Stegostoma tigrinum: one gene and its partners. The protein of the gene in region 3 purifies or fractionates together with the protein of the main gene of each other region. This does not show direct contact. Links are inferred from orthologs where the notes say so. Each region holds a gene or a part of one and is shown on either strand. Other genes may lie near its edges. The genes, in order: kinesin-like protein KIF3C, kinesin-like protein KIF3B, kifap3a and kif3a.

The links.
Region 1: the proteins of kifap3a (region 3) and kinesin-like protein KIF3C purify together in Homo sapiens (co-immunoprecipitation; 3 studies listed by BioGRID and IntAct, counting the BioPlex papers as one, with this or other methods). This does not show direct contact. The link is inferred for Stegostoma tigrinum from reciprocal best matches to the Homo sapiens genes KIFAP3 and KIF3C.
Region 2: the proteins of kifap3a (region 3) and kinesin-like protein KIF3B purify together in Homo sapiens (co-immunoprecipitation; 7 studies listed by BioGRID and IntAct, counting the BioPlex papers as one, with this or other methods). This does not show direct contact. The link is inferred for Stegostoma tigrinum from reciprocal best matches to the Homo sapiens genes KIFAP3 and KIF3B.
Region 4: the proteins of kifap3a (region 3) and kif3a purify together in Homo sapiens (co-immunoprecipitation; 9 studies listed by BioGRID and IntAct, counting the BioPlex papers as one, with this or other methods). This does not show direct contact. The link is inferred for Stegostoma tigrinum from reciprocal best matches to the Homo sapiens genes KIFAP3 and KIF3A.

What each region holds. Positions count from the first base shown.
Region 1 is NC_081357.1:131,544,978-131,552,297, forward strand, and holds the start of kinesin-like protein KIF3C, read right to left. Parts: upstream 3,008-7,320; 5' UTR 2,705-3,007; coding exon 2,173-2,704; intron 1-2,172.
Region 2 is NC_081372.1:26,402,623-26,409,813, forward strand, and holds the start of kinesin-like protein KIF3B, read right to left. Parts: upstream 3,018-7,191; 5' UTR 2,964-3,017; exon of another isoform or gene 2,693-2,963; intron 1,875-2,692; 5' UTR 1,805-1,874; intron 1-1,804. UniProt on the Homo sapiens protein: Microtubule-based molecular motor that transport intracellular cargos, such as vesicles, organelles and protein complexes. Uses ATP hydrolysis to generate force to bind and move along the microtubule. Plays a role in cilia formation.
Region 3 is NC_081361.1:46,861,340-46,869,026, forward strand, and holds the start of kifap3a (kinesin-associated protein 3a), read right to left. Parts: upstream 3,003-7,687; 5' UTR 2,861-3,002; coding exon 2,829-2,860; intron 1-2,828. Other genes in the region: ntmt2 (N-terminal Xaa-Pro-Lys N-methyltransferase 2), read left to right, coding at 5,278-5,443. UniProt on the Homo sapiens protein: Involved in tethering the chromosomes to the spindle pole and in chromosome movement. Binds to the tail domain of the KIF3A/KIF3B heterodimer to form a heterotrimeric KIF3 complex and may regulate the membrane binding of this complex.
Region 4 is NC_081366.1:15,191,993-15,199,778, reverse strand, and holds the start of kif3a (kinesin-like protein KIF3A), read left to right. Parts: upstream 1-4,774; 5' UTR 4,775-4,946; coding exon 4,947-4,952; intron 4,953-7,786. UniProt on the Homo sapiens protein: Microtubule-based anterograde translocator for membranous organelles. Plus end-directed microtubule sliding activity in vitro. Plays a role in primary cilia formation. Plays a role in centriole cohesion and subdistal appendage organization and function.

The DNA of each region.
Region 1 (7,320 bases), on a different chromosome or scaffold from region 3:
TGTGCTCCTACACTTTTTATAGTCATCTAGGGATTCATGAACCCCATAGCTTAAACTCAATGTAAGCCTTCTTCACTTTCCTGACAAAAGCCTCGACATCCCTTGTTAGCCAGGGATCCCTAAATCTTCCAGTTTTCCCTTCACCCTCAAAGGGGCATTCTGTCCCTGGACTCTTGATATTACAGTTTTAAAAGGCTTCCATTTGCCAGGTCATTCCTTTTCCAGCAAAAAGACTCACCCAGTCGACCTCTTCTAGATCCTGCCTAATGGGCCTAAAGTTGGCCCTGCTCCAGTTCAGCACCTTAACCTGGGGACCTGTCCTATCATTCTCCATAACTATGCTAAAGCTAAGAGAGTTATGGCCACTGGACCCATAGTGCTCTTGGAGTGACATTTCAGTCACTTTCCTGACCTTGTTTCCTAAGAAGAGGCCCAGTGATGCACCCTCCTGAATAGGGCCCTCTACACAATAATTTAGGAAACTTCCTTGGACACATTTGACAAATTCCACCCTGTTTGGACCTTTTACACACTGGGTGGCCCTGTCAATACAGGGGAAATTAAAATCTCCAACCAGTGTGACTCTATCATTCCTACAGGTACCTGGAATCTCTCTACATACCTGCTCCTCGAGTAGCCACTGGCTATTTGGGGGTCTATAATACAGTCCCAACAGAGTGACCATCCCTTCTTGTTTCTAAGTTCTAACAATATGGCCTAATTTGATGACCCCTTAAGAATATCTCCTTTAAGCTCTGTTGGTATGTCCTCCCTTATCAAAAGGGCAACTACCCCCACCTCACTTATTTGTACTTCTTTCACGCCTGTAGCTTCTGTATCCTGGAACACTGACCATGTTTCTATTATGGCCATAATATCTTAGTCCCCAGAGCCAATGCATGCTCTGAGCTCATCTGCCTTACCAATGAGGCTTCATGCATTGAAATAAATACATTTTAAACTGGAAGTCTTTTCCCTCCCTTTACTGTACCCCTAGCTATCCTGAATAGTAAACTTGCTCTCGATGGCTAATGTATTCTCCCCAAATTCTCAATGGACCCTTTCTTATTCAGATTCTCATCCCCTTCAACCCCCACCAAAATAGTTTCAACACTACCAAATCTCCCAACGAAGAAATTGGACCCCTCTGGTTCAAGTGCAACCCATCCCTGAGGTACAGGGCACCTCTCCCACAAAAGAATTGCCAATGATCCAAGAACCGAAAATGCTGCCTCCGAAGCCAGCTCCTCAGCCATGCATTCATCTGGCCTACCTTCCTATTTCTATCCTCACTTGCACATTGCACTGGGAGTAATCTGGAGATGACTACCGTTGAGGTCCTGCTTTTTAACTTCTTACCAAACTCCCTATACTTATTTTGCAGGATCCCATCCCTCTGTCTACCTGTGTCATTTGAACCGATGTGCACAATGACCTCTGGCAGTCAGCTGAGCCATTCCTCAAACTATTTGACAGTGCTACCAATTACTGGAATGTTTTGTTGAAGATAATGAGCCAATGCCGATTCATAATGACATTTGCATTTTGTTGAAGGCATCAAAGAGCAATATTGAAGAGTCTAGCTGGTAGGAAATGACAGTGGTGAACACCAACTTATTCAAATTGTATTTTTCAGCTGATTCATGTCTGAGGTAGCAGGCTGAGCTCAAAGTATATTCTAGTGTTTGACTCATTATTCCAGTGCTGGGACCTGGATATCATCTGAATATAATTATTTACAGGTCTTCTGACTGACCAGATGTTTGACTCATTTTCTTCCCTTTTATTACCATTTCTGTCCGAATGAGTTACGTACCCACTAATGATAATGCAAAAACCTGCAAAACTGCAGCTGAAAAAAGTTGTCTCAGAGCTTAAGGATTGTCCTGAAGCGAAAAAAAAGATTATTTATATTTAAGGAGTAGAATTTTTGATTTGATTTTCAATTTCTCCACAAAATGTCAATTGTTTTATGATACCGACCCCTCCTCTCTACACGCCCTCCCTCCCAGTCCTCGTGAAGAAAACAAACAGAATTCCTGGCCTCCATCACAGCCTGGGAGATAATCTCCCTTTCAAATCGTCACACATTTAATCACGCTCCGGGTTTTTAATTCTTTAAATAAAACTGTTATTTGTTTACAATTTGAAAGTAACCGCTTTCTCCGTTACCTTTAATGTAAACCCCAGTTTCTGGTTTTTCCTTCAGCTCCAGCTTTTTGTTCTCATCCTTGTTGAGGAGATCCCGGATCTCCTCCTGGTAGATCTCTAGGTAGGAAGCCCTCACCAGGTACTGTTGGTCCTGGGATCGCGAGATATGGGTGAAGATGTGTTCGAATGAGTTGGGAATGATGCCCCTTTTCTCCGGCTCGGCCCACACTCCCTGCATGGTGTAGGTTTTCCCTGTGCCTGTCTGCCCATATGCGAACACGGTGCCATTGAAACCCTGCAGCACTGAGTCTACCAGAGGGCGGACCGTCTCATCATAGAGCTCACTCTGCCGGCTGCTGCTCTCATAGACCGCATCAAACCTGAAGCTCTTGGGCAGCTCCGTGGGACTGCCTTTGGGGTTTCGGATAGACACCTGCCCCAGGTTCACATCCATCTCCACGATCCGTTCACAACCAGCCGCTTCTTCTTTCCCATTCATTGGGCGGCACCTAACTACCACCTTCACCGACTCACAAACCTTCGCCTTGGACATTTTGTCTTGTTTTCTGGCTTTGCTCGGAATGCAGTCTCCCTCAGCCTGGCACCTTTCACTGGCTGTATTGTCTCTGCAATAAAACAATGCACCCGCTCCGCATCATCACATTCAGGGCTGCAGCCTGCAGCTTACAGTCCCAGACCGAGCTGTCCTTTAGCCGGACAGGGTGGAGACACAGCGGAGGCTAGCTGGCTGCGAGCTTCTCCCATTTGCAGCTGACAACGCCTTTGTCATTGGGATGCTGCAGGTTGTGTGATCTCAGGCTCTGGGGCTGGAGCACAGCCTGACTGAGACGGTGCAGGTACAGACAACGCCACAGGAGGACGCCCCAAACGTGCTCAGTATCCTCAGGCTGGGTCCGCCCTAGACATGCACAGTCTGTCGGGAAATGGAGTTATTGCTGTAGTGTGGAGATTTGGAAAACAAATGCGAATGACTTGTCTCCCCTTTCCACAGTGCTACTGCGCCAATCTAATGGCAGGCCATGGGTTGGTTGATGCTATAAATTACAGTCAGGAACTCGGAATATTCCAGAAATTAGACTTTCAAAAACCCCATTGACAATGACAAACAAAATTCTCAATTTATAAAGATATGGATGGAAATGTTGATCCGTTTGTTCATGATGGAGACAACTAGCAGCTCTGTGCCACGTTAGTATTGCCTATTGGAGTGCAGTCACAGCTGTTAGGTCGGAAAATGTAACTGCCAGTTTACATCCAGGTAGGCTCCAAATGCCCCAAATAAATCACCACAACCATATTTTTTTTGTATGTGGTGATGTAGGATCAGGGACAAATATTCAGCAGCACACTATGAACATTCTCTGCTCTTCTAAATCTTTCATATCGACCCCAGCAAGCAGATCAATGACTCATCAGATGTGAAGGACTTGATTTTTATATCTGTACCACTATTACCTGTCAGTACTTTATAAAGCATCTCCAGTTTGGCCACAGTGAAAGTCCTTTCATAACATTCTGAAATGCTTTATTGTTAATAACTGCATTGGTTGTAAAAGTGCAATATGTATACCTCAACTCAACACCACTAGCAGCATACGTGTCATTATTTATCATCTGGCCAATGACAATAATTCATCCCTTTCTACTAGTGGGGCAAGGGGTGTTATTCAATAGTGGTAAACCATTAAATGTCAAGGAGCAGTGGTTAGATTATCTCTTATTGAAGACAGTCATTGCCTGGCATTGTCTAGCACAGATGTCACTGCTACTTTTCAGCCCAACCCGAGAATTTGCTGAATTTGAACATGGAGTGTTTTTGTCTCTGACACAAATAGTGCTGAATGTGGGGGATGCAAGAGCTGGGAAATTAGGATCAATGATCCTGGCTCAGGACTTTTGGCAAACTTACACATTTACATTATCTCACTTGATAGAACCAAAGGAGACAGTGAAGTTCAATTCCTTTTATTGTCCTTGTGCAGAAAGAGAACTAAGGCTGGCTTGTAATTCAAGGCTATAATATAACCCTTAACTCTATGTGTCTATACTATATATCATAATTAAGATTCAAAGAAGCATTAAGTGAAACATATTTGAATATTGCATTTCAGTCAATTTAAATCTCCATAACAATCCAGGCATATTTGTGGGATTTTGGCTGTGACTGATGCATAGGGCAAAAGCCAGCAAGAACAATGACACAGGAGGGAAATTCACTAATTAATTGGAAGGTAAATTCTATCCATTCTTTACTAAGAGATACACACTTCAGTGAAGGAGGTTTTCTAAGAATGAAAGATGATTGTAGCCCTTGGAGTAGTGCCCAAGGTGTTGCAGCAAATTTTATTTGGCTGCCATCTTCAACTCAGCAACTCCTTATTCTCACTTTTCTGAAGTGATGGGGTTGAAGGGGTGTGGTGCTATTAGGTCTTCTTCAGGTGTGAACTTAGCACCATTTACGAGGACAACAAATAAGCAGGAAACTTGAAGAGTGCAGCTCTAAGCTGTTAAAAGAAACATAAAAACATAAGAACTAGGAGCAGGAGTAGGCCATCTGGCCCCTCGAGCCTGCCTCATCATTTAATAAGATCATGGCTGATATTTTTGAGACTCAGCTCCACTTACCTGCCCACTCACGATGACCATTAATTCCTTTACTGTTCAAAAATTTATCTAGCCTTGCCTTAAAAACATTCAGCTTCAACTGCTTCACTGGGCAGGGAATTCCACAGATTCACAACCCTTTGAGTGAAGAAGTTCCTCGTGATCTCAGTCCTACATCTGCTTTCCTTTATTTTGAGGTGATGCCCTCCAGTCCTAGTTTCACCTGCTAGCAGAAACAACCTCCCTGCCCCCACCTTATCTGTTCCCTTCATAATCTTACATGTTTCTATAAGATCTCCCCTCATTCTTCTGAATTTCAATGAGTATAATCCTAGTCTATTTAGTCTCTCCTCATAATCCAACCCTCTCAACTCTGGATTCAACCGAGTGAATCTCCTCTGCACCCCGACCCGTGCTAGTATATCTCTTCTCAAGTAAGGAGACCAAGTCTGCACACAGTACTGCAGGTGTGGCCTCACCAGGACCCTATACAGCTGCAGCATAGCCTCCCTGTTTTTAAACTGCATCCCTTGAGTAATGGCAGACAAAATTCCGTTTGCCTTTTAAAATCACCTGCAATCTCACCTTCAGTGATTCATGCACAAGGATACCCAAGTCTCTCTGCACAGCAGCGTGCTGCAATTTTTCACCATTTAAAACATAGTCCATTTTCCTGATATTCCTACCAAAATGGATGACCTCACACTGATCAACATTGTACTCCATCTGCCAGACCTTTGCCCACTCACAGACTATCTATATCCCCCTACAGACTTTCCGTGTCTTCTGCACACTTTGTTCTACTGCTCACCTTAGCGTCATCTGCAAATTTTGACACACCACACTTAGTCCCCAACTCCAAATCATCTATGTAAGTTGTAAACAATTGAGGTCCCCAACACTGATCAGAGGCACACCACTAGCCACTGACCGCCAACCAGAAAAATACCCATTTACCCCGCTCTTTGCTTTCTACTAGTCAACCAATCCTCTATCCATGCCAATACATTACCTGTAATACCGTGCAACTTTATCTTATGTAGCAGCCTTTGGTCTGGCACCTTGTCAAATGCCTTCTGGGAATCCAGAAACACCACATCCACAGGTTCCCCATTGTGCACCATGCAAGTAATGTCCTCAAAGAATTCCACCAAATTAGGTAAACATGACCTACTCTGCTATTAACCTTCTTGCCATTAGTTTTGGGCAGGTTATTTGTGTCTTTCACTGTGGAGACCGACATAAAATGACTGTTTAGTGTCTCAGCTATTTCCCTATTCCTAGTTATTAAATTGGCCTCCCCATCCTCTAAACACCAATGTTTACCTTTGCCACTCTCTTATAATTTACATATTTATAGAAACTTTTGCTGCCTGTTTTTATATTCTGAGCTAGTTTACTCTCATAATCTATCTTACTTTTTTTTTATAACTTTTTTTGTGGCTTTCTGTTGGCCTTAAAAGATTTCCCAGTCTACTAGTTTCCCACTGCTCTTTGCTTTTTTTGTATGCGTTTTTTTTTCAATCTGCTACTTTCCTTTATTTCCTTAGACAGCCATGGCTGGCTCTCTCTTTTCCTACAGTTCTTCCTTATCACTGGAATATACTTCCGCTGAGCACTGTGAAAAATCGTTTTGAAAGTCCTCCACTCTTCCTCAATTGACCCACCATAAAGTTTTTGCTCCCATTCTAGCTTAGCTAACTCCTATCTCATTCCTTCAAAGTCTCCTTTGTTTAAGCACAGGACACAGCTACTGGATTTAACCTTCTCATGCTCCAACTGTATTTTAAATTCGTCCATACTGTGATTGCTCCTTCCGAGGGGATCCCTAACTGTGAGATCATTAATTATTCTTTTCTCATTACATAGGACTAGATCTAGGTTAGCTTGCTCCCTCGTAGGTTCCATTACATGTTGTTCAAGGAAATTATCGTGGACGCATTCTATGAACCCCTTCTCAAAGCTGCCATGACCAACCTGATTTGACCAATCGATATGTAGATTAAAATCCCCCATGATAATTGCTGCACCATCTTTACATGCATTAGCTATTTCTATGTTTATTGCCTGCCCCACCACAATATCATTATTTGTTGGCCTATAGACCACACCTATCAATGACTTCTTCTCCTTGCTATTCCTAATTTCCACCCAAATGGATTCAATGTTTTGTCCAGTAGAACCTGTATCATCTCTCACTCCTGCCCTGATAACATCCTTAAAAATCAGAGCAACACCACCTCCCCTACCTTCCTGTCCATCCTTCCGAACAGTTTGATACCCCTAGATATTTAACTCCCAGTCATGACCATCCTATAACCATGTCTCTGTAATGGTCACTAAATCATACCCATTTGCCATGATTTGCACCGTCAACTCATCCACCTTATTTCGCATGCTCCGAGCATTCAGATAATATGCCCTGACGCCAGTTTTTGCACCTTCTTTTTGGGTCCTATTACCTCCATTACTAACAACTCTTGAGTTCTCCTTTCCTTTAACTTTATTTCTGATTTTCAATGGAGTTGAAGCTTCCTTGTCCCC
Region 2 (7,191 bases), on a different chromosome or scaffold from region 3:
CTTCACTTTTAAAATGAGAGAGAGATACATTTGCTATCTTCCTACCAAATTAGGCCATCCCTGAATCAATGGAACTTTCAAATTTTAAAACCAATGCATCAGCAATCTCACTAGCTACTTTCAAAACTCTACGATGAAGTTCAATGGGATCCAGGAACTCAGTGAAGATTGTAATCACCAGAGAAATAATATCGAGTAAACTGTTGCAGCTGTGGGCTGACATTTTTGCCGAGTTCCTTCCTTCCTTTTATTTCGTGATAACTTGCTGCTTCTGGAATGTTGTCCGTATCCTCTACAGTGAGGATGGATACAAAATACAAACTTAAATTTTTCTCAGGAGTCTTTAACTCCAGAGTTATTCCAACACAAATCAAATTTCATCTCAAAAATATTGTTGCTCTGTTCAAGGGGTTAAACATATTTGTTGGATAGAGGAAGACAAACAAAGTAACCATTACAGTCACAACCATTAGTATTATAGAAAACTAAATTAAATCATAGAAAACTATTTTTGGCCATGTACAAATTTTGCACTCTCCCTCCATTGAAAGAGTAGTCATTTAAGAAACAGAGGGAAATCTAAGAGGAACAAATTACAATGAACCACACGTGAGAATCTTGATTTCATACTAATTACACTCCCAGGACTAAGAAAAGGCCCTGAGAGAAATAGGAATCAGAGAACTCAAGTTAAATTCTTTCACTGTCTCCTACAGTTTCAGTGCAAACCAAATAGAGCCAATATAACAAGTGAATCAAAATGCAAGAACTCATTTGAGCTCAATTTCTAAGGAGAATCAGTAGCCCTCACAGAAATCTGGGAAATATATAATAATAATTTCAGTGAAATTAAGGTTTGTCGATTCTGTGCCTTCACATTGCAATGGAAATAGTTGTAAGCAGTGAGGGAATTCCTTGTCCCATTGCGTAATATTAGTTTTATTTTATGAGTAAATATGAAATCCAGGATTCCTGTGGTGCAGGGGTCATGTCCCTACCACAACTTCCAGTTATTTTCTAATTAACCTGTTCAAAGATGTTATTACACATCTCTGGAGCAAGTGGAAATTGAACTCAGGCATCCTGGTTAAGTGATAGGGACACTGCATGCACCACGTAAGTCCTAGGATCTGGACTGTATATTTCCTCATGAAATAAAACAAAAAATACAGTGGGACAAGGAATTCCCTCATTGCTTACAACTGGTTCCATTGCCTATAGGTCAGAGCAGGTAGAGATAGCAGATTTCCTTCTCTAAATGACATTAGTGAACCTGGTGGGCTTTTACAAAAACCAATGATAGTTTCATGGTCATTGTTGGAGTTCTAATTCCAGACTTTTGTTTGAATGCAAATTTCACCTTGTGGAAAGATTCAGGATTTCAGATAAATGTTCCCCCGAGTGTGACATGGATCTCTGAATTACTACAGAAGCAACAAAACCACTAAGATCATGTCTCTCTGTTGAACACCCTATATATTAACGTTTGGAAGACAAGATACAAATCTGGCTTCACACTGCAACAGAGACAATGTAGTTTAATCCTTGCAGCAATGCCAGAGTCACAGGACGTCTTTTTTAAGCTTAGTGAAATCACTACATAGATTCTTAAAACTTTGACTGATATTACATTGCAAATGAAAGAAAACTGAAGAAGTTTTATAGGAATAAGCTGCATGCACTGCAAATGAAGACTGTGCACTGAACTCATTTTCAGCCATGCTCCCAAGATGAGCTTGTTTCCAGGGAAACCTTAAACTTTATGTTACTACGATAACCAGATATACGGTAGAGTTATACTCACCTCTGTGCAACTGCTTTTTCAATTACTGTCACGCAGCCATGAATAAGAACTCAGTAAACCATGAGAGTGCCTTTAAAGTAATTCAAACATCAGCATAGTGCATTTAGATAAACATGAACATATCACAAAGTACATTTTAAAAAACTTAGAATTTACAATATATTACAGCAAAAATAACTGTGTGTACTGGAGTAATGATTCAAAATTCAGTGTTTAAAACATGTAAAACTGGCTAACAGTAAACCAAATTACAACAGTAATAGAACGACAAAGGGAAACAGCAAAGGACAGGCGCTCCCTGTACCTAACACTCTCACCCATCACTCCTACCCAAATGTTGCTCTCTCACCACACCCAAAGCGAGGCAATTGTAAGACCATCATTCACCACTCCCATCACTCTTGTACCGGCCACTTCATTCTTCATCCCTTAACAACGTAATATTTATGGACAAGCCTACCAGTCCCCTCATCTCCACCTGCTTCCCACCCTCCATACCCTACTTTTCAAACACATCATCCCTGAGCCAGATGCTCTTCTCAGAAATTCTCCTCAGCTGGTCTCTCCGACCACACTTCATTACATTTTGATTTCATCTTCCCAGTACAGGTCGGCATAACTCCTGGACTAGACATTCCTCCTTTACTCCTGGGGCAAATACCCTCCCCGTTCACATCCACAAATTTCCAGGGACGGACTCCCTCCCTCCCTCCCGGTTCACATCCACAAATTTCCAGGGACGGACTCCCTCCCTCCCGGTTCACATCCACAAATTTCCAGGGACGAACACCCTCCGTCCCCATTCACATCCATAAATTTTCCGAACCGGATACCAGCCTTCCACATTTCCCGGACCGGACACACCATGCTGGCCTGGTCTAGCCACACCTTTTGGCCGGGCTCTGCAGCGTGCCCCACTCTGCTGCCCCGCATTCACCTGGGCTTCCCGTCGGCTGCCGCCTCTCCATCACCAGCGGCCTAGCAACGGACAAACAAGACGCCCGGCCGCCCAGCTGACACAGGCAGCGATCGCCCTCTCCGGAGCCCCGGACAGCCGGATCGCTAAATCCGGCCCTGAACACCCACTTTGCCCCGAATCGGTCAGAGCGAGCAGCCTCACTCGGGAAGGAGGCGGGTCAAAGCGTTTCTGCGGCTCTACCTGCTCCTCAGCTGCGGTCAACCATTAGCGCAGGAGACTCGGCGCTGGCGACACTGTCCCGGATGAGAAGGAAAACAAGGAGCTGGATTCAGAGTCGGAGCCGAAACCCTGAGGAGGATTCCACCCGGAGCTGGAGCTCTTCAAGATTGCTCTGATCACTATGCTCTCCGGCCAAATGACACACTTTCTAACAAAGGACAACAGTTGCCTTTTCTAACGCCGCCTCCAAGCCAAAAAAACAGCAGAGATGAGCTATCCCAGTGCTATATATAAAAACGCTTCCCTCTTTAACTGCAACACAACTCAATTTCTTCACTTGGAAAACCCCAGAGGCTATTTGGCCCATCAAACATTATGACCGAGTGCAGCTCTCCCTTTTTTAAATGTAATTCTATGCAAAGGTTCTATTCTAATAATCATCTGCTGGCTTCTTGAATGCCTTGATTAAACCTGCCTCCACCATACTTCCAGGCATTGCATCCCAGACCCTAAATTGTCACTGTGAAAGAGATTTCCTCACACTGAATCTGCTTCTTTTGAACATTATTTTAAGCCTATTAGTCTCAATTCTTTTACAAATTAAAACAATTTCTCACTCTGTACTCTGCCCAGTCCTCTCATAGTATTTCAATCATCTACCTAACTTGCCTTTTAGCTTTCTCCTCTCCAAGGAAAACAATCCAAACTTCTCGAATGTTACATCAAAACTGAGATTTGTTATTGCTGTAACTATTTGTCCTGGTGGCTTAAGAAATTCAGTAAGTCCATAAGGACCCTCACCATAGAAAGCATACTGTCTGGGTGCATAACAGCCTGGTACAGGAGCTGCTCTGCCCAAAGCTGTAAAATAAACTACAGAAGGTTGTGTGTATGGCCCAGGCCATCTCAGATACCAATCTTCCATCTATGGACTCTGCTTATCCTTCTTCTTGTGCGGAAAGGCTGCCAGCATCATCAAAGTCACCAGCCACCCTGCTAATGCTCTCCTACAACCTCTTTTGTCAGGCAGAGGACACAAAAGATTGAACACATGCACTAATGGGTTCAAGAACAGCTTCTTCCTGCTGTTATTGGACTGAAGAATCAATTCTCCAACTTCAAATAATGTTGATCTTATTAATGTTGATCTTGCTTTGCACACCACCTATGCAGTGTAATCTGTATGCCTCACTGTCTAAGCACCTTATGATTTATATCTAGGACATGTGGAACAATCCCTCTTCCGCTGCTACACTGGCACTATCCCCCACCTCTTCCTCTGCTACATCGATGACTGTATCGGCATTGCCTTATGCTCCCACAAGAAGCTTGAACAGTTCATCAACTTTACTCATACCTTTCACCCCAACTTCAAATTCACCTGGACCATCTCTATACCTCCCTCTCCTTTCTGGACATCTCTGTCTCCATCTCTGGTGACTGCCTCAAAACTGACATCTATTTTAAGCCCACAGCTACCTAGATTACGCATCCTCTCACCCACCTTCCTACAAGAATGCAATCCTCCACTGTGTCTGCTCCAAAGATGCGGCATTCCACTCCTGAGCATCCCAGATGTCCTCTTATTTCAAGGACCGTAACATCCCTACTTTGGTGGTCGAAAATGCTCTCAACGACATCGCTTGCATTTCCTGAATCTCTGCCCTCACAGCCCCTCCCTGAATGGAAACAAAGACATAATCCCCTTGTCCTCACATATCACCCCACTAAACTTCGTATCCAATGTGTCATTCTCCCCCACTTCTGCCACCTACAATCCAACCTGACAACCAAAGAGATATTTACCTCCTCACCCCTACTTGTCTATCATAGGGACTGCACACTCTGTGAGTCCCGCGTCCACTCCATACTCCCCACTAACCCCATCACACCCAGCACCTTTCCTGTGCTACACCTACCCCCTCACCTTCATTCAAGGAACTAAACAAACCTTCCACATTAGACAGAGGTTCAACTGCACATCCATCAATGCGGTCAATTGCATCTGCTGCTCCCAATGTGGATGAGACCAAGCGGAGGCTTGGAGGCTGCTTTATAAAGCACCTGCATTCTGTTTGCGACCAACGACAACACTATCCAGTTGTGAACCATTTCAACTCCCCCTCCCACTCCCTGGGTAACATGTCCATCCTGGGCCTCTTCCACTGTCACAATGATGCCACCCAGAAACTGGAAGAGCAGCAGCTCATATTCCACCTTGGGAGCCAACAGCCTGATGGCCTAAATGTGGATTTTACCAGTTTTAAAATCTCCCCACGGCTGGCCTCACCCCATGACCAGTCCTCCCTCTCATTCCCCACCTCCTTGACCTGACACAACCCGTCCATCTTCTCTCCCACCTATCCCCTCCTCCCATGTCACTGGCCAATCTCCACCACTTCCTACCTGCACTCACCTATCACCATCCCACCTACCTTCCCAAGCCCCAACCCTCCTCTCTATTTACTTGAACTCCCTTCTCGCAACCCCAACCTCGATTTCTGAAGAAGGGTCCTGACCTGAAATGTCAACTTTCCTGCTCCTTTGATGGTGCCTGGCTTGCTGTGTTCCTTCAGCTTCACACTGGGTTATCTCTGACTCCAGCATCAGCAACTCTTATGATCTCTGTGTCCTTGGTTGCTATGATCTGTGTGTACTGCTTGCAAACTGAGCTTTTCACTGTACTTAGGTACACATGACTACAATAAATCAAATCAAATCAAATCAAATCAAACTTGTGTAACCCTCTTCTGCACTCTCTCCAATTCATTCACATCCTTCCTGAAGTGTGGCTCCAGAACACAATATTCCAGCTGAGCTCTAACCAGTGTCTTAAACAAGTACAGTATAACCATCTTGCACTTATACTCTGAATTTTATATTTTATTAATAAAGTTTAGGATTCTATTTGCTATATTAACAGCTCTCTGCTTGTCTTGCCACCTCCAATGACTTTACGCACATATATACTCAGTTTACTCCACTCCTTTAGATTTGGGCCTTTTGTTTACTCTAAATTACCCTCTTCTTTGTACCAAAATGTATCACACCTCTGCAGTGGACTGCCATCTATCTGTTCACTCCAATAACTTGCAAGTCTCCTTTTGATCTCCTCACAGTTTACAAAGCTTACAAGTTTTGAATCATTCACAACGTATGAAATTGCCCTCTGCACACCAAGAGGCAATTGTTTATTAATGCATATCAATAAAGCAAAGGTACCAATTCTACTGCGTTTAGTAAACAGCTAATCAGGAAAGGTAGTGCATTAAATACCTAAGCTAACACATAAGTAACTGTTAGACTGACCTTCCCAACGTAATGCACACACACCCAAATATACCTCCCCCTGGCCTTTATCATTATCCTCTGAGACCCAATCCCTTTCTCTGCTCTGAGCCCAATGCCCTTTCCCATACTGCTAGACCAATTCCCAAACTCTTCTGTCATTAGACCTGAATCACTCTGCCCCACTGCCAGATCAGGATTCGACACCATCCCCCAGAACTTGACCCCTGTTTTCCTGCTCTAGACCTGAACACATACTGCCCTTCCATCAGATCTGATCTCCTCATCACCTCCTGCTGAACCCAACTCTGCCTCTCCCTGACTCAACACCACTGCCCTACCTCCCAAACATCCAAACATCACTCTCTTGCTGCCAGCCCCACCCCCATTCCCAGGAACCAATATCCTCTCATCCCTCTGGGACCAGACACCACAATCCCTGCTCTATGCCGGCCTCAATATCTTGCCTTGACCCCGATCCTACTTAAAACACTCCATCACTTACCTGTCGTCCTTGCCACCTGGTACCCTCCCCTCCCCCCACACTACACTTTCATAGGAGCTGTCAATGTCACTGTCTGTGTTGCTGGACCTTTAGATTTCAGAATAGGACAACGCAAGTGTGGTTTACCTATCCCTGACTGTTCTGAGTAATGGAATGATGGAAGTATGGCTCCATATTTCTTATGGAGCCCTATTCAGAATCTCCTGACAGAAAGGTGGACCTCTTTCACTGCAAGTATTAAAGGAGCAAAGTGGTAATCTGTTTGAGATTGCTACTCCTTAGAAATTCCCATCCATTTATAGAAAAGCAAATAGAAGAATCTAAGAGTGAACATGCAAAGAGATTTGCTGCCAGCATTAAAGTGAATCCTAAAGTCTTCCATGGACACAAAGGAAAAAATGTTGCAAAAATGGGAATTGGGGACAATTTGGGACTAAAAACCTTATTAACATATAG
Region 3 (7,687 bases):
AATTATCATTTTGCAAACCACGATTTGGAAATTTACAACGTTGAAGTGTAAAGTGCTGTTTTTAGATGTCCAACATTTCAGTTTTCAGAGAGGAACTATGCACAGACTATCAGAACAGTCTAGAAAGGGCAACAGAATGAGTCTGGCAAAAATGTAAATGTGATTCTGTCCAGTTAAAATCCAGTCTGTAGCATCCAGGGCAAAAGACTACAATCTAAATGTTTCCACTTTTTCTTGCTTTTTTTGTTTGGCCCCAGGTCTCCTACCACCAGATAATCTTTCCATTGTTCGTTATTTGAAAAATTATTTCAGTTATCAATTTCAATATAAATGCATTCAGTTACTTTATAGAAAAGTCAACTGCCTTACAGTGAACACATATCCTGGATATGCATGGTGCTTGTTAATTTCCTTAAAATACCCTACTAAATCTACTTTAGTTTGCAAATATGCTTCATTCTCACTAATATATGAACTTCCAAAGAGCAGTTGAGTCTTTGTACTGAAATTGAAGCTCATGGAATGTAAGGTAATTTGTTGACCTGGTTAATAAATTGGCTGTACAAGTGGCAGAGTGGTGATAATATCAAAAATTGGCACGTAAGATCCAAAGGGTGTATGTTGAGATCTCAATTATACATTGCTTTCAATAATTTAGATAATGTAATTGTTGACATGAAAACAAAACCACGACATTATCAACAATTAAGTAAAGGGTGAAAGAGATTTCAATGCAGATAAATGCAAGTTCATCCATTTTCTAACTAGAAATAGAACAGAATACTCCCTAAATGGTGTAATGCTGTAAACTGAGATGGTCATAAAGACTAGGAATTCCAAATACACATTACTGAAGTGTCACAAACAGGTATCAAAAAGTAGGTAGTAAAGTTACTGGAATGTTGGCATTCATAAAGAGGGTAAATTTATAGAGCCATAAATTTATATCAAGGGTAATGAACACAAGGGGATAAAATTTAATCTATAGTGATAATGGGAACTGCAGATGCTGGAGAATCCAAGATAATAAAGTGTGAAGCTGGATGAACACAGCAGGCCAAGCAGCATCTCAGGAGCACAAAAGCTGACGTTTCGGGCCTAGACCCTTCATCAGATGAAGGGTCTAGGCCCGAAACGTCAGCTTTTGTGCTCCTGAGATGCTGCTTGGCCTGCTGTGTTCATCCAGCTTCACACTTTATCAAAATTTAATCTACACACGCTTTTGTGCTCCTAAGATGGTGCTTGGCCTGTTGTGTTCGTCCAGCTCCAGACTTTGTTATCTCAGATTCTCCAGTACCTGCAGTTCCCATTATCTCTTATAAAAAGACCTGGTTAGGCAACTTTAAGCAGTTCTGGAAACCAGAAGTCAGGATGAATGTGTTGGACTTTGAGGGGCATATCACAGACCTCCCAGAATTGTATCAATGCCAAGAGAGAACAAAGAGAATACATAAACTAATAAAATAAAAACTACAGGTGCTGAAGATCCAGGACCACTAGACTTGAAACATTAACTCTGCTTTCTCTCCACAGCTGGTGCCAGACTTGCTGAGTTTCACCAGGAATTTCTGTTTGTATTATACACACTAAGAATAGGTTTCTTGGATTTTGGAAGTGCTTTGATTACAATTATCAAGATATTAAGTGAACAGATAGGCTAGATTGGAGAAGTATTTTCCATTAGTTAGGAAAACTAAAATTTATGGCATAGTCAAAAAATTCAAACTTTTCAGAAGTGACATTAGGAAATATGTCCTTTTGCAAAGTATGGTAGAAGTTTGGAAACATCTTCCACACGTGGCAATTAATGTTAGATAAACTGTCAATTTAAAAGTGTGATATTTGCTTGTTAGCCAAAGGTATTAGGGATAAGGGGCAAAGGTCAATAAATGGAATTAGATTACAACCATGTTATTACTGAATAATAGGACAAGATTGAGGGCTAAGTAGATTACACCTATTTCTATTGTATTTGTCACAAGCATTAGAATATTTGGTCCTGCTTTGACTGACAGTGCACCAATCATTTGTTGTTACTCAAGTTGAATTGTATAAGCTGTGCTTAACCTGTTATTTATCCATTTGTTGTTTGAACATAAATGTAAAACAATTTTTTAAAATACATATAACAGGTTGATTGCTTTTATTCGACACAAATTGAATACTTTATAGAGAAAGTACTCCTAACCTGGAGTTCACAATCCGTGGTTCCCCATTATCCTCCTCTCCCCATCACAAACAATGCCAAATTTACTGTAAATTCACAAGACGTCACTTCTGTCAATACAGAATTATAGACGACCTGAAATTCGCCAGTTACCACCTGATAATAGCCCGGATGGTAACCACCATTGGTTCTCATCACTCAACGAGCTCATCTGGCGAGTATCCCAATCATCATCACGACAGTGATAATAGGACGCAACTGACCTCTCCAAACGAGGGTGTGGTAGGAAAAGAAATCCTTCTCAGTAAGCGAAGATTCAGTTTAACTGCGAATGATGCTCTCCATTAAAAAAGGGGGGATAGTAATATTAACGATCCAGGCTGACTCATTCAGAATGCATTAATAGAATGTATCTGAGAGCAACCTTGAAACGAACGCTATGGTAGTGTCAGCATCAACAAGGGAGAAGAGTATTATACGCGCTGCACAAATGTCTGTCAAACCCACAGCTGAGAGAGCAGCTGCGAAGTAGACGTTAACAGCAGAATGATTAAGGTGCCGCAGTCACAAAATGCAACAACAGCGACTGCAGGTTCCTGGGCCCAACCCGGTCCTTCCAAAAAAGCAACCACCAACACCCTGCCCCTGTTACAGCACCAACCTCTTCAGGTAGCGAGCATCTTCCGGTTGCATCTTTATCGGCCGCTCCAATTCTGTCTGCAAAAGCAGTTTCTTTGTTTGCTTACTTTACCCAACAGCAAAGCCACCCTCACATCTCCCCGGGTTACCAGAGACAAGTGCAGCCGCCCCACAATCCGCAGCGGTACGCGCGGGCGGAGCCTGCGCTGGAGGGCGGAACTAAACCGACAACGATGGACACTCCGCCTGCAGCACCCCCACTAGGCCAACAACAATAACTCCAGGTCAACGGGACTGCGATCGAAAGAGTCGTCACCAGCAGAAACAGCTTGCATTTACAGAAAACAAATCAAAACGTTCAGAAACTTCGCAAAGGTGCAAACAGAGAAAAGAATGCCCAACTATGAAAGGAAATATTAAATATCGTGATTGAAATCACTCTCCGTGCCCTCATCCATACCTTTTGTCACCTTAAATCACAACTTCGTATGTTCTCCTTAAACTTCAACTCATCCAAAATTTTGGCAGGTCTGGCAGCATCTGTGAAGGAAAAAACAGCGTTAACGTTTCGGGTCCGGTGAACGGATTCTGAGGGTCAACGGACCCGAAACGTTAAGATAATAAAATGTGAGGCTGGATGAACACAGCAGGCCAAGCAGCATCTCAGGAGCACAAAAGCTGACGTTTCGGCTAGGCCTGCTGTGTTCATCCAGTTCCACACGTTGTTATCTCAGACTCCAGCATGGCCAGTTCCTACTATGTCTGAGATTTTCCAGCAACTTTGTTTTTGTTCCTGATTTACAGCATCCGCAGTTATTTCCGTTTTCATCCAAAATTTTGTCGCCTATATCATGTCTTGTATTCATCTATCACCGATGACCTACTAAACTGCATGAAGTCCTGATTGTCCCTCACCTGCAGTCCCTATAGGGTCCCTCCAATTTTCACTTCTGCAAATATACTCCAGTCTGAGAGCTACCCAGGACTCTTCTTCCTTCCAACTCTGGTCTCTTGCTCATTTCCACTTTTTATATCCTACTTTTAGTTCGTATGACTTGAAAAGTGAAGCCCCTAAACTCTGGGATTCAATCTCTTAAATCTCTACTCTTCCATCTATCTCAATTCTCTTATCCTTTTTTAAAGCATATCGTTTCTGATTAACGTTGAGCCATAACTCTTAATTGCCCCTTCTTTGACTGAGTGACAATATGTTTAAATACACATTTAGGAACAGTCTTGAAACATTTTAATAAAGACAGAAAGGTTGTGGGTTAAGGTCCCATTCCAAGGCTTAATCACAAAAATTCAAGCTGACATTCCAGTGCATTCTGTCCTTTGTGATGCTTTCAGGTAAGACATTAAACCAAAATCCTGTCTGTCCTCTCAGGTGGATGTAAACTATCCTCTGGCACTTTTTTTTTAGAAAAAGACCAAGAAAATGGGCAATATGTATCTCTCAATCAATATCACCAAAATTATTCGATCATCATCGATTTGCTGTTTGTGGGGCTGGTAATGTGCAAAATGACTTCCACATGTTCTATTTGACAGTAGTGACTGTATAAAATATTTCATTGACTGTAAAGTGCTTTGGGATATCACGTGGTCGTGAAAGGTACAATAACAATGCTAGTTTTCTTTTACATGCAAGTTGTTCATAATGTGTAGTAATCTTCACAATTCATTTAACAGTAGCTGTAGCACATCATTTATCAAACAAATGAGAAATGTGTTTTCTCTAAGAATAAAAATAAGTTTTGAATAATCTCTCAGACAGGTTATTTGGGTTGGAGAAAATGTAACCGAAGGTTATGATGGTAGAGTTGTCGTCTTAAATGATTAAAATCCACGCGTCTTGCTTTACGAGTTTGCCTCTCCACATTTCCCCAATCTCCCATGTTTGTGAATTTTTCTAATGCATTTCTCCTCTCAAACTTACTGAGCGACCCAGCTCATGTTTTTTTGAAGTTGCTAATTCCTTCACTGTACGAAGGGGAAGTGGATCTCAGTCGCAGATAAATCCATCTCCTTTCACGATGCGTCACTGGCATACATAACACAAATCATTGACTGGGCACTTAGGTTCCCTGTCATCTCACGGAACCACAATTTTCCTGCATAATCTCAGGAAGTGTTTGAACTTTGTACAAACCTCAATGGACCATTTAGTAAGATTCACATTCAGCAAAGTTTTGTGGTCCGAAAGCTTTGTTTTACACCAGGATTTAGGATTTCCAGAATATGCTGAAATGAGATCAATGTAGGCAGAGCTGGTTGGGTAGGAGGGTTGGAGTTCATACGGAGGCGCGTTTTCAGCACCTGCTTGGGGGATCGGAGCCTGATCAGTCCAAGGACTAGCGCCAAGTTGTTAAGAACAGAGATACCGGGAAGTTACACCGTGGGATCCGAATCGCCGAAAATTACCTGGAGAAATAGAGGAAACCCAGCGACATCCCAAACTCTAAAATACAATGGAAGAAAAGGTGGAGTGGAAAAAAGCCCACTATGCTTTTAAGTCGCGGTGGGACAGAACTGACGATGATATGTGCCGCAACAGCATGTCTTTCTTTCTCCATAAAACCATTAGGAGTGACTTCTTTTCCAGTTACCTCTTTCTGTTGGAGCAGTTGCCTTTGGGTGAGTTGGAGTGATGGCTGCCATACCCGTATAGGAAAGGCAGAGTGAGTGAAAATATCGCAGCAAACATAAACTGCGGCTCAATGTTATTGTAAAACGCAACATTTATTTAAAGGGGGCTACGTATATTTTCGGATTCTTTAGAGCATATTGGCTAAGTTTTATCATTCAGTCATTGATTAAAATACCACTCGATTGTGCGGCAGCGTTTCAGCAAATTTAGCCGAACGATTACAGTTTTGAATCGTTACGACACCTTCCACGACCACTAGACCGCGCAAAATGCTTTGCAGCTAATAAAATACTTTTAAACGTGTAATTGCGTATTGGCGTAATGCAGGAAACTGGGCAGTTTTGCGCACAGTAAAACTCCCATAGTCAGCAATATGATACTGAACAGCTATGAGGCGTTTTGTGATTTTGATTGAAGGGTAAATGTTGGCCAATATCCTGAGTCACAACCCATCCATCAAATAAAATCGAATGTATTTACACTAGTGCTTCGATTTGGATGTTTTCTAAATTGCTGAAGATATCGGGCATTTTGAGATAGATTATCACCTACTCCGAAAATCTACTTGGGAAAGGCTTTATGTGTTGGTCATCATATGATTAAATATGGCAAAACTCACTAGGAGTTTATATGAAGCAAATAAACCACAGTATTAGAGCTGTTTATGTTTTCTTCTAATTAAAAGGATGCTTATTCCAACAATGTACATTATTAATAACATTTATGAAAACTACATTACCGTAATTACAATATCACAATATTTACAAAAAATTCAACTTGTTCCATTTAACATATTCCACTTGAAGCAATTGTAAAGGTCGGAATATTTACACGACACATCCCATTTGAGGTAGACACCCAACAGCAAAAGCATTTCAAATCTGAAACTGCAAAAGGCAAACAGATATAACACTCTATATAACATCTTTCATTCTGATGCAGGAATTTTGTGTTCTATGGGTTGTTCTCAGGGCTGTAAACCAAGACAATCATAAACAGTGCCTGAAGAACTATCAACTCAGTAAAAGATGCTCTTTGGTCTGCCCTAAGCTTGCTGGCCTTTCATTGAGGGAGTTGTCCTCAGTTAAATATTGCAGACTGGCACATTCTACGGTCCAGAATTACATGTTGAGAGACACACTAGAGTTGGAGCAGCTGCAGCAGAGACACAAATGGGATAGGTTGCTCCCTGGGTCCTTTCAGCCATAGTGCACCAAAGGGCTGGAAATGGAGTACTTCTTAGGCTGAGCACTGCACAAGGACTGTATGTTGTAAGTCTAATTAAAAGAACGGCTCTCTTCATAAGTCCCATAGCAGATAATGTCTCCATGAAAAAGTAAGAGGGGTGGGAGAAAACTGGCACCAGAATGTTTTTGTGTGTGAAGGTGACTGCACATCAGACATGGTTGGGATTTGTTACTGTTGATTATTCTGTCACAACTGAGTAAACAAACAAATAAGTAAAAATGCTTTTCACAGTCATTGAACATCTCAAAACATTTATCATTAAGGAAGCACTTCCAAAGTGCAAATGGACGCAGTTGCAATGCAAGAAATGAGTCAATTTGCACACCCCTGACAGTTTGATAATGGACAGAAAATGTGTTTTGTGATGTTGGTTAAAAAATACATATCAATATGACACTGAGGATAAATCCCCCATACTTTAGAATAATGCAGTGATCTTTTATGTTCATCCAAACATGAAATTGAGGCCTTGGTTTGACATTTCTTCCAAAAGATAGCATCTCCAATAGAGCAGCAGTCCTTCAGTACTACACTGGAGTGTCAACATTGATATTTAAGCACTGGAGTAGGGCTTGAATCCAGTATCTCAGCAGCAATAGTGCTACCAACAGTATTATAGCAAACATGAGCATAGAGCAAATCACATGGCAACTTCATCTAAACCCCTCAACCAAGTATTGATTACCTTACTGTATTGTATTATTTATTTGAAGTACTTTTTCAGTTTGACCAAATTAGCAGCATTACCACAGTACCTGCAATCGAAGCAAGTAATGCAGAATGTTAATTCATGAGAATGAGCTGCAGCCCAATGGTACAGCATGAATCAGCACTGTATTGACAGGTCATTTTCCATTATAGCCGATTACATGGGATTAACATGCTTATATATAATTTATATTGGCTGCTTTCTATAGTGAATTATGCAGTTCGTTTTTGCTGTGAATACTAAACCTGTTTACATTCTTATGCCACATGATACA
Region 4 (7,786 bases), on a different chromosome or scaffold from region 3:
AACATCACCAACTACAAGTTCCTCAGCTAGCCACTCACCATTCTGACCTGGTGATGTCTCCATTCCTTTGTTCCTTCAGTATTTCCATTACTTCATTATTACTGGGTTGAAATCCTGGAACTACCTTCCAATAGGATAAGAGTGTATCAGAACTGCAGCAATTTAAGAAAGTAGCACACTACCAGACTCTCCAGGGTAAATAGGAATAAGCAATAAATGCTGGACCAGCCTACAAAGCCCAGATTTCCTGAATGATTTTTAAAAAATTGTACTGTGGTCCAGTGCATTTTTAAACTGACCCATAGCCAGAGAAATCAGGCCTGACAGAAAATTGGCCAAACTAAATTAAACAGTAGGCAGTAGCTATTAATTACAGAGGAGAGTGGAAATCAACATCAAAAAGTTTAGAAAAGTTCAGGGGAACCAGCAACAACCAGTCTGAAGATTGATACATTTCCAATACACAATCAGCTATTTTTGGCATCTTGACTGCCTGAACATATGCACTTTACACCTCCTGGCATTACAACAATGAATGGTGTTGGTGTGACCTCACTGGGTGATTGAACCCAGCTCATGACCCCATACTACATATAGCCATACAACATTCGGAAAGTCAAGGGCAAGGAAAGTTAAGAACACAGACCTGGATGCCACCCCATAAAGGAAGACTCAACCTGGTCTAGCAGTGGAGCTCCAACCAACTGGAGTAAGAGAGAAGACCTGCCCCTACCTACAATACCCACCTTCATGAAAGGGAACCAGCCCTGCATTGGCGAGGAAGGAGAATCCAGCTCAAATACCTGGATCGTTGCGGGTAATATCCTTTCTCAGATGATAGACAAATAGTTAACATAGTGGGAGTTTGAGAAATGCTCATGTGGTGTTTTTAATAGGGAAATGTATTGTTAACAAAATTGAGCTGAACTGCAAACAGAATCTGTGTCTCTTTGTTTGCTTCACTGACAAGAGGTCTTGGGTAAAATGTTTTTAGTACATGAACTGGTCAAAGTGTTCAAAGAATGGACAACAACAATTTTGAGTAACATGCATATTGTTGTATTTCTATTTCTTTTTACTGTAACAGTGTATTATTATGTGGACTGCATAATATGAAAAGACATCTGTGACTCACTTGGCAGTTCCCTACAGCTAACTTTTAAAGCCGTTCTGTGCTCTCAGCAGCCATCAGTGTAAAATCTGTGCTTAAAAAATCTATACTGATGTAGATGTGAGAATATTTTCCCTCATGACCTAGATTTGAGTCTACATCAGAGTCCTGGTGCAGTTGGGAAGCTAAACCTGTGTGGTTTCCCACTGACGTAGCCAAATCTCAACTATTCCATGAGTGTTGACTTCATATTGCAAATACAAAATATCTAAGGTCTCTAAAGCATGAGAAATACTTCCCCATTTATCCATAACTCTAGAAATGCATGATCTTCAGAGTGATTGGGCTGATTCAGCAAGATGCTTTCGAACAAATAGACAGCAAAAAAACTATCTTGTCAGTCATTACACAACAGTTCAGGACCTGTAAAAGACTCTACAAGATTCTAGAAGTTAGCAAACAACAGAATCAGATATACTTTTGAGGTCAATATAATTTCTCCAAATTTTGCTACATGTCAACATTTCAGAATATTTTGCAATAAATAAATGCTGAATGGTTTTCACCCAGTAAATCCAATTCTATTGACTGTCAGCATGATTCAGCACAAAATGTCCAAGCCTTTTTGTACATAAATTCAGCATGGTCAATAAGATAAAAACAAAGTACTGTAGATGCTGGAAATCATAAAGATAAAGTGCTGGAAATACCCAGCAGGTCCCCGGTAATAAACAAGATTTAATGTTTTGGCTAAAATCACTGTCAATTCACATTCAAGTTATGAGGTGAAGTATGACACTATTCACGACTACATTTCCTTGACAATATGTTTATCTGAAGAAAGCAGCATCACACATCTCCGTTTTTTACCTCCTAAACCTCCATGCCTCAGCAGTCTTTATTTCTGTGTGTTGAAGTACTTAATGAAACAGTAATTTTTACCTGTGTATCCTTATTAATATTATTATTGTTATTACTACTATTAGCAATGATGCTTTTTAACCCACTTTGAATAAGTCATATTTGACTTAAAGCATTAATTCTTTCTCTTTCCATAAGGGCTGCTAGACTTGCTAGTGTTTCCAGCACTTTCTGTTTTAATATCTGCTGTGTCACTGTGGTTTACAGTTATTATATATTTGGATGAGTAATCCAGAAGCATTGATTAATAATGCAAAAAATCGCATTATGTGAATTTTGTACTAGAGTACTGGAAATAAGAATTGGTTTCAAAAAAAGTAATTCTGAAATTCTGCATCTAAACGTACAACTAATTCTAGATTTACAACTGCATGAAAATCAAGGCTAATAGGCCATGATATGCTGACTTTTGGATAAGCTGTTTAATTTTTGCTTCATGGTGAATCCAAATGATCCCATGACACTATATCAGAGGAGATTTCTCCAGTGTCCTGGTCAATATTTATCCCTAAATCTGCATATCAGAAAATGATTTCATCACAGTGTTGTTTGTGTGAGTCTGCTGCAGCAAATTGTAGCCTGGTATCTTCATGTGCAAAAAACAAAATTAAATGATTGCTAATAATTGAACAAAAACCTACTAACTCAATCAGAGCAGTACAGTGGATCAGTGGCTAGCACTGCTGCCTCACAGCACCATGGATCCAGCTTCAATTATACCCTTGGGGGAACGTGTGGTGTTTTCACATTCTGCCCGCATCTGCGTGAGTTTCCTCTGCATTATCCAATTTCCTCCTACAGTCCAAAAATGTGCAAGTTAGATGGATTGGCCATGGAAAGTGCAGGGTTGCAGGGACTGGGATACCCTTCAGAGGGTCGGCGTGGATTTGATGGGCCAATTGGCCTGCTTCTACACTGTTGGGATTCCATTCTTCTCATCATGTAAACATAACATATGGAGGAACAACTTCTCTGTCTTCTGTATACTAGAATCATAAAATGATTTTTTGAAAAATGAAATTAATTTATTCTAAATAATTAACAACAAAATACCACATAAACCGAGAAGATCACAGGCCGATTTCCTGATCTGTACTAAGGCTGGATGTTGTATTCAACCTGGATATAATTGGGTTGCAATTGGTTTCAGTTTTCCTCAGCAATGGAAGGAGAAACTTAATCCATGATTTCTTTTTACTTTCAACAATCCCTGCTGGAAATGTGCTTGCATGTGTTATATAATGACCAGATTGAATTTTCTTAAGATTATTCCACTGGTCCATAAGCTGACAGGTGATCAGACTCAGGAGGTACTGAAGAGCTAGTACTATTATATAGTAAATTTGAATGAACAATTTGGTGAAAAGTGAAAGTCAAATATGCACCTTTGTATGTGTCAATGGGCTCATTGACAGTTATCCCTTCAGATGTTCAATACCAAATCTTTGGAGAGACTGAAAAACTATCTAAGGTCACAAACTGGAGACCTTGGCAGTGTTTAACAATGGAAATGAATGACATATGTGTTTCAAAGATAATGTAGCAGAAGGAATTAATGCTCACACTCCACCCATATTGAACACCACTCACTCTACTGATGTCACACATAGTCTGTAGGTCAAGACAGTTGCTTGCCAGCCCATTTAAGAGGAGAGTTAAGAATTAACCTTATTGCTGTGGGTCTTTAATGCATCTCAGCCAGACCAGATCAGGTATGGTTGGTAGATTTCCTACCCTGCAAGACATTAACTTATAAGATTGTGTGCTTTTTTACAGTAACTGGAACACCCACTAACATCAAGAAGAAAAATTCCTTGCAGAATCTAACTTTGCCATCTTTATTTAGAAGTGATAAGCAAGGTTGTACAAAAGTGCTCGGCCCTGAGAAAAATCCATATGTAAACTGACGTAACTCTATATGTGGAAATTAGATCTGCACAACTGCATCTATCAGAATAAAAATGAACCAATTGAATTGAAAAACCAGTAAGAGCATCATGATCAACGTTGGAATGATTACTGTTCTTAGACAAAGAAATTATGTGACATATTGTTTTATTGAGTATAGAATTATCATCTTAAGAGATCACACTATGTTTGAAAGCATTTAACATAAAATACTAAATTTCATTTAAAATAATGTAATCAATAATTAAATTGATTTGACAAATCTAGCACGAACTATACCACTGGTTGAAATGGGCAGGTCGGTTGTCTTGCCTGTTATGTGTGGCCGCTAGGATTCAAATCTACCCCAGTGTCAAGGAGAGGAAATCTCTTCAGCCTACTGCTTGCGTTTATTTGAAATGAGTTTCAGCAGTTTCACTCTTGTTGGCACAAAGCCATATTTGCAAATCTTAGTCAGAGAAACCACAGGCACGAGCGATTATGATAGATGCAGCTGTAAGCTTGTGGTTGAAATGGAAAGTGCTTCATCCCCCACCATCCTTCATAAAGTTATACAATTAAAAAATCAATGTATACAGATTAATTGTGTCTTACCCACTCAGCTACCTACACAAATCTCCCTCTTCCTCTTTCTTCTGCGGGGCCATTGTTAGTTCTGCGGCTTGTTCCCTCTCTGTCTGTCAGCGGTGGCCATGGAAACCAGACGCGCGCCATCTTCCATTCTGATTCGTGGCGGCGCGCAGAGCCCCGCCCCTTCCCCGAGGCGGGCCCAAGCTATTCGACACCGATTGGCCAATGCGGACCGTCAATCAAGTATGGGGGTGGACCGTCCGTGTGTCGCTGGCAAGTGAGCATGCGCAGAGCGGAGTCGAAAGGGAATCTCGGGGGTGGTTAGGCTCGAGCTCTTTGGGGTGAGCAGGAGGGAGTACTCGTGCAGGGGCGGCGGCGGCGACGACGGTCGGAGTCAAATTTGAATGTGCTCTCGAGGCCCGTGGCGACGATCAAAATGCCGGTGAGTGAGTTAATGTGAGTCTGCAGACAATAACGGCGGGCTTTGGCCGGATGGAGATATTCGGACTAGGGAGTGGGAGAAAGGACTCACGGGCCTCTGTTTAACCGCTGAGATGGAGCCTGGGTTTCAGATCTCCCGCTGGGGAGAGAGACCTCAGTCTGAAGCAAATCTGGACAATTAAAAACTCAAGCGCCCGGTTTGGTACCAGCCGTCTGCGAGCGGGGGAGGGGTGCGGGTTGGGGATGCGGCAGAAATTGGGTAGCACCCTTCGCCGTTTATTTTTCCTCACACCAGTTAAGCCAGATTCTTATTCCCCACCACGTCTGGGATCGGACTGAAAGATCGCTATATCCCTCCACTCTGATCCTCCTCCATTTATTTAAGGGAGGGCGGGCGGGCGATCAGTTGTAAGTGTACGAACCGACTCCGCCCACCCCCACCCTATCCCGCCAGGAAGGATCATCGTGATGGATTAGGTTCGAGCAGCGGGGATCTGGAGGTAGACCTGAATGTGATGTAGATATCACACATAGAGACACGCGCAAAAAGCTTGTGAGCCAAGCCCAAGCCGTAAACAGGAATCTGCTGTAAACAATACGTGGGGGTTAAGCCTGAGAAGGCTGATGACGCCCGCACCCATGTGTGTGTGAAACGGAAAGGTCTCTGAGCTTGCACAGGGTGAAGGGTTGCAATTCCAGGGCTGATGTTGCACCAGGTTTGGACGGATGGCCATGGCGGAAATATTGCCAGATGACAGGGCTTCCCTTTCCCTGAGACCCGCTACATACAACCTCCGTTCCTTCCAGTGCAGTTTAATGGGAGTGGTTCAGACTCCCCCGTCTGTATTTTGTTGCTATTCAACAACTTGTGCTAGATTTGAAGGGACAGCTACGATGGAAGATGCAGTTAAACGTTTTCTGGAGATTTGGATCCGTTATGAAGTTGGGTTCGTAAATGTCAAATTAGTACTTGCAAGTGTATAAAAAATGGTGCAGGGAAATTTACCAAAGTCCTGAATGTGACATTAAGCTTACAATGCCAGAATCCATTCACATAAACTGTTTTCCATGCTAAAGTAAATATAAGAACCAAAAGAACTGTGAATGCTGTAAATCAGAAACAAAAACAGAAATTGCTGGAAAAGCTCAGCAGGCCTGGCAGCATCTCTGAAGAGAAATCAGAGTTAACAGAATCCCTACAGTGTGGAAACAGGCCATTTGGCCCAACAAGTTTTCACTGCCCCTCCAAAGAGCACCCCACCCAGACCAATCCCCTACCCTTGCATTTCTCATATCTAACCCACCTAACCTAAACATCCCTGGTCACAATGCGCAATTTAGCATGACCAATACACCTAACCTGCGCATCTTTGGATTGTGGAAGAAACAGGAGCACCCAGAGGGAATCCACGCAGACACGGGGAAGAATGTGCAAACTCCACACAGTCGTTCGAGGGTGGAATCGAACCCAGGTCCGGGGTGCTGTGAGGCAACTGTGCTAACCACTGAGCTACTGTGCTGCCCCAAAGAAAGGTGAGACTCCTTTGAGCTGGAATTGAATCGACGACCTTTCAGGTCTGGAGACCCTTCCTCAGAAATGAAACATCGACCTGAAATGTTAACTCTGATTTGTCTTCACAGAGGCTGCCAGACCTGCTGAGCTTTTAGAGCAACTTCTTTTTCGAAAAAGAAGATGTAATTAGTTGAATCATCAGAATCACGGAGTAACCAGTACTTTGCTTTTGTACCAGCATTTAGAGTCTCAATGCAGCTCTGACCTGGACTGGAAGTGATCTGAAAGTCAAGTCCCTGTCACCATCACTTCCAGTCAAATGATGCCTTAATTTAAAAACAGAACTTGTTTGTTTTCAAATTTCTCCACCATTGGCGGCTGCACTTCAGTGTACAATTTCAGCTGCATACGTTGAAAATGGTGCAAAAGACCAATAAAGGTGATTTGGAGCTATGTGACCCTGTTATCTTATTTTCATGTTCTGTATTTATATACAGTAATTTAACTTGGTGTGCTTGGAGAGTGGCTTTTTAATATGCAGGTTAAAGGAAGGATCAAAATTACTCTAATGGTTCTCTTATGCTAATTAATTATTGTAGATTGTACTTTTATTGGAGCTTGTCCTTGTTTGTAATGGTGTCAATAAATTTCAGTATAATTAAATTTATGATATCAACATGAATCTGGATTTCAGGAATGTCTTTTCTTCAATTTCAACATTTTTTTATTTGTAAGCCTGTGAAAATCTCAGCTACAAAAGAGAGACGTTGTCACCAAGGTTAAAACCATTACTAACACAGCATCTGTACTACTCAGTCTTCGTGATGTCAACACAGAGTAACCTACATTTACCTCAGTAATATAAAACAAAGAACTTCAGTCCTCAAGATCTGAAACTAAAACAGAAATTGATGGCAAAACCCAGCAGGTCTGGCAGCATCTGGAAGAAAGCTAGTACTGTCAGTAACTAAAAGAATGTGATATTTATGTAGAAGATGAGGTTTGGGGTTGTGCGAGTGAAGAAATGTAGCCCAGAGAGAGACACATGAAAGGGGTAGGTAAGTAAGGAGATTATGAATAGCAGGCCAGGACAGAAGGAAAGCTGAATAAATAACAATAAGAGCTAGGATTAGGAGAGAATGGGTGAGCTGTACTGAAAACAACTCCTCTTTTAAGGATGGTGCATTGAAATGGCAGGAGCTGGAAGCTTTGGGTCATCTTTGCAGACAGATCATAGGTGTTCTGCAAAGTGGCCACCCAGTCTGTATGTTTGTCACCCCAGTGTAGAGGAGACCACAGTGTGTCCAGTTAACACAGTAGAC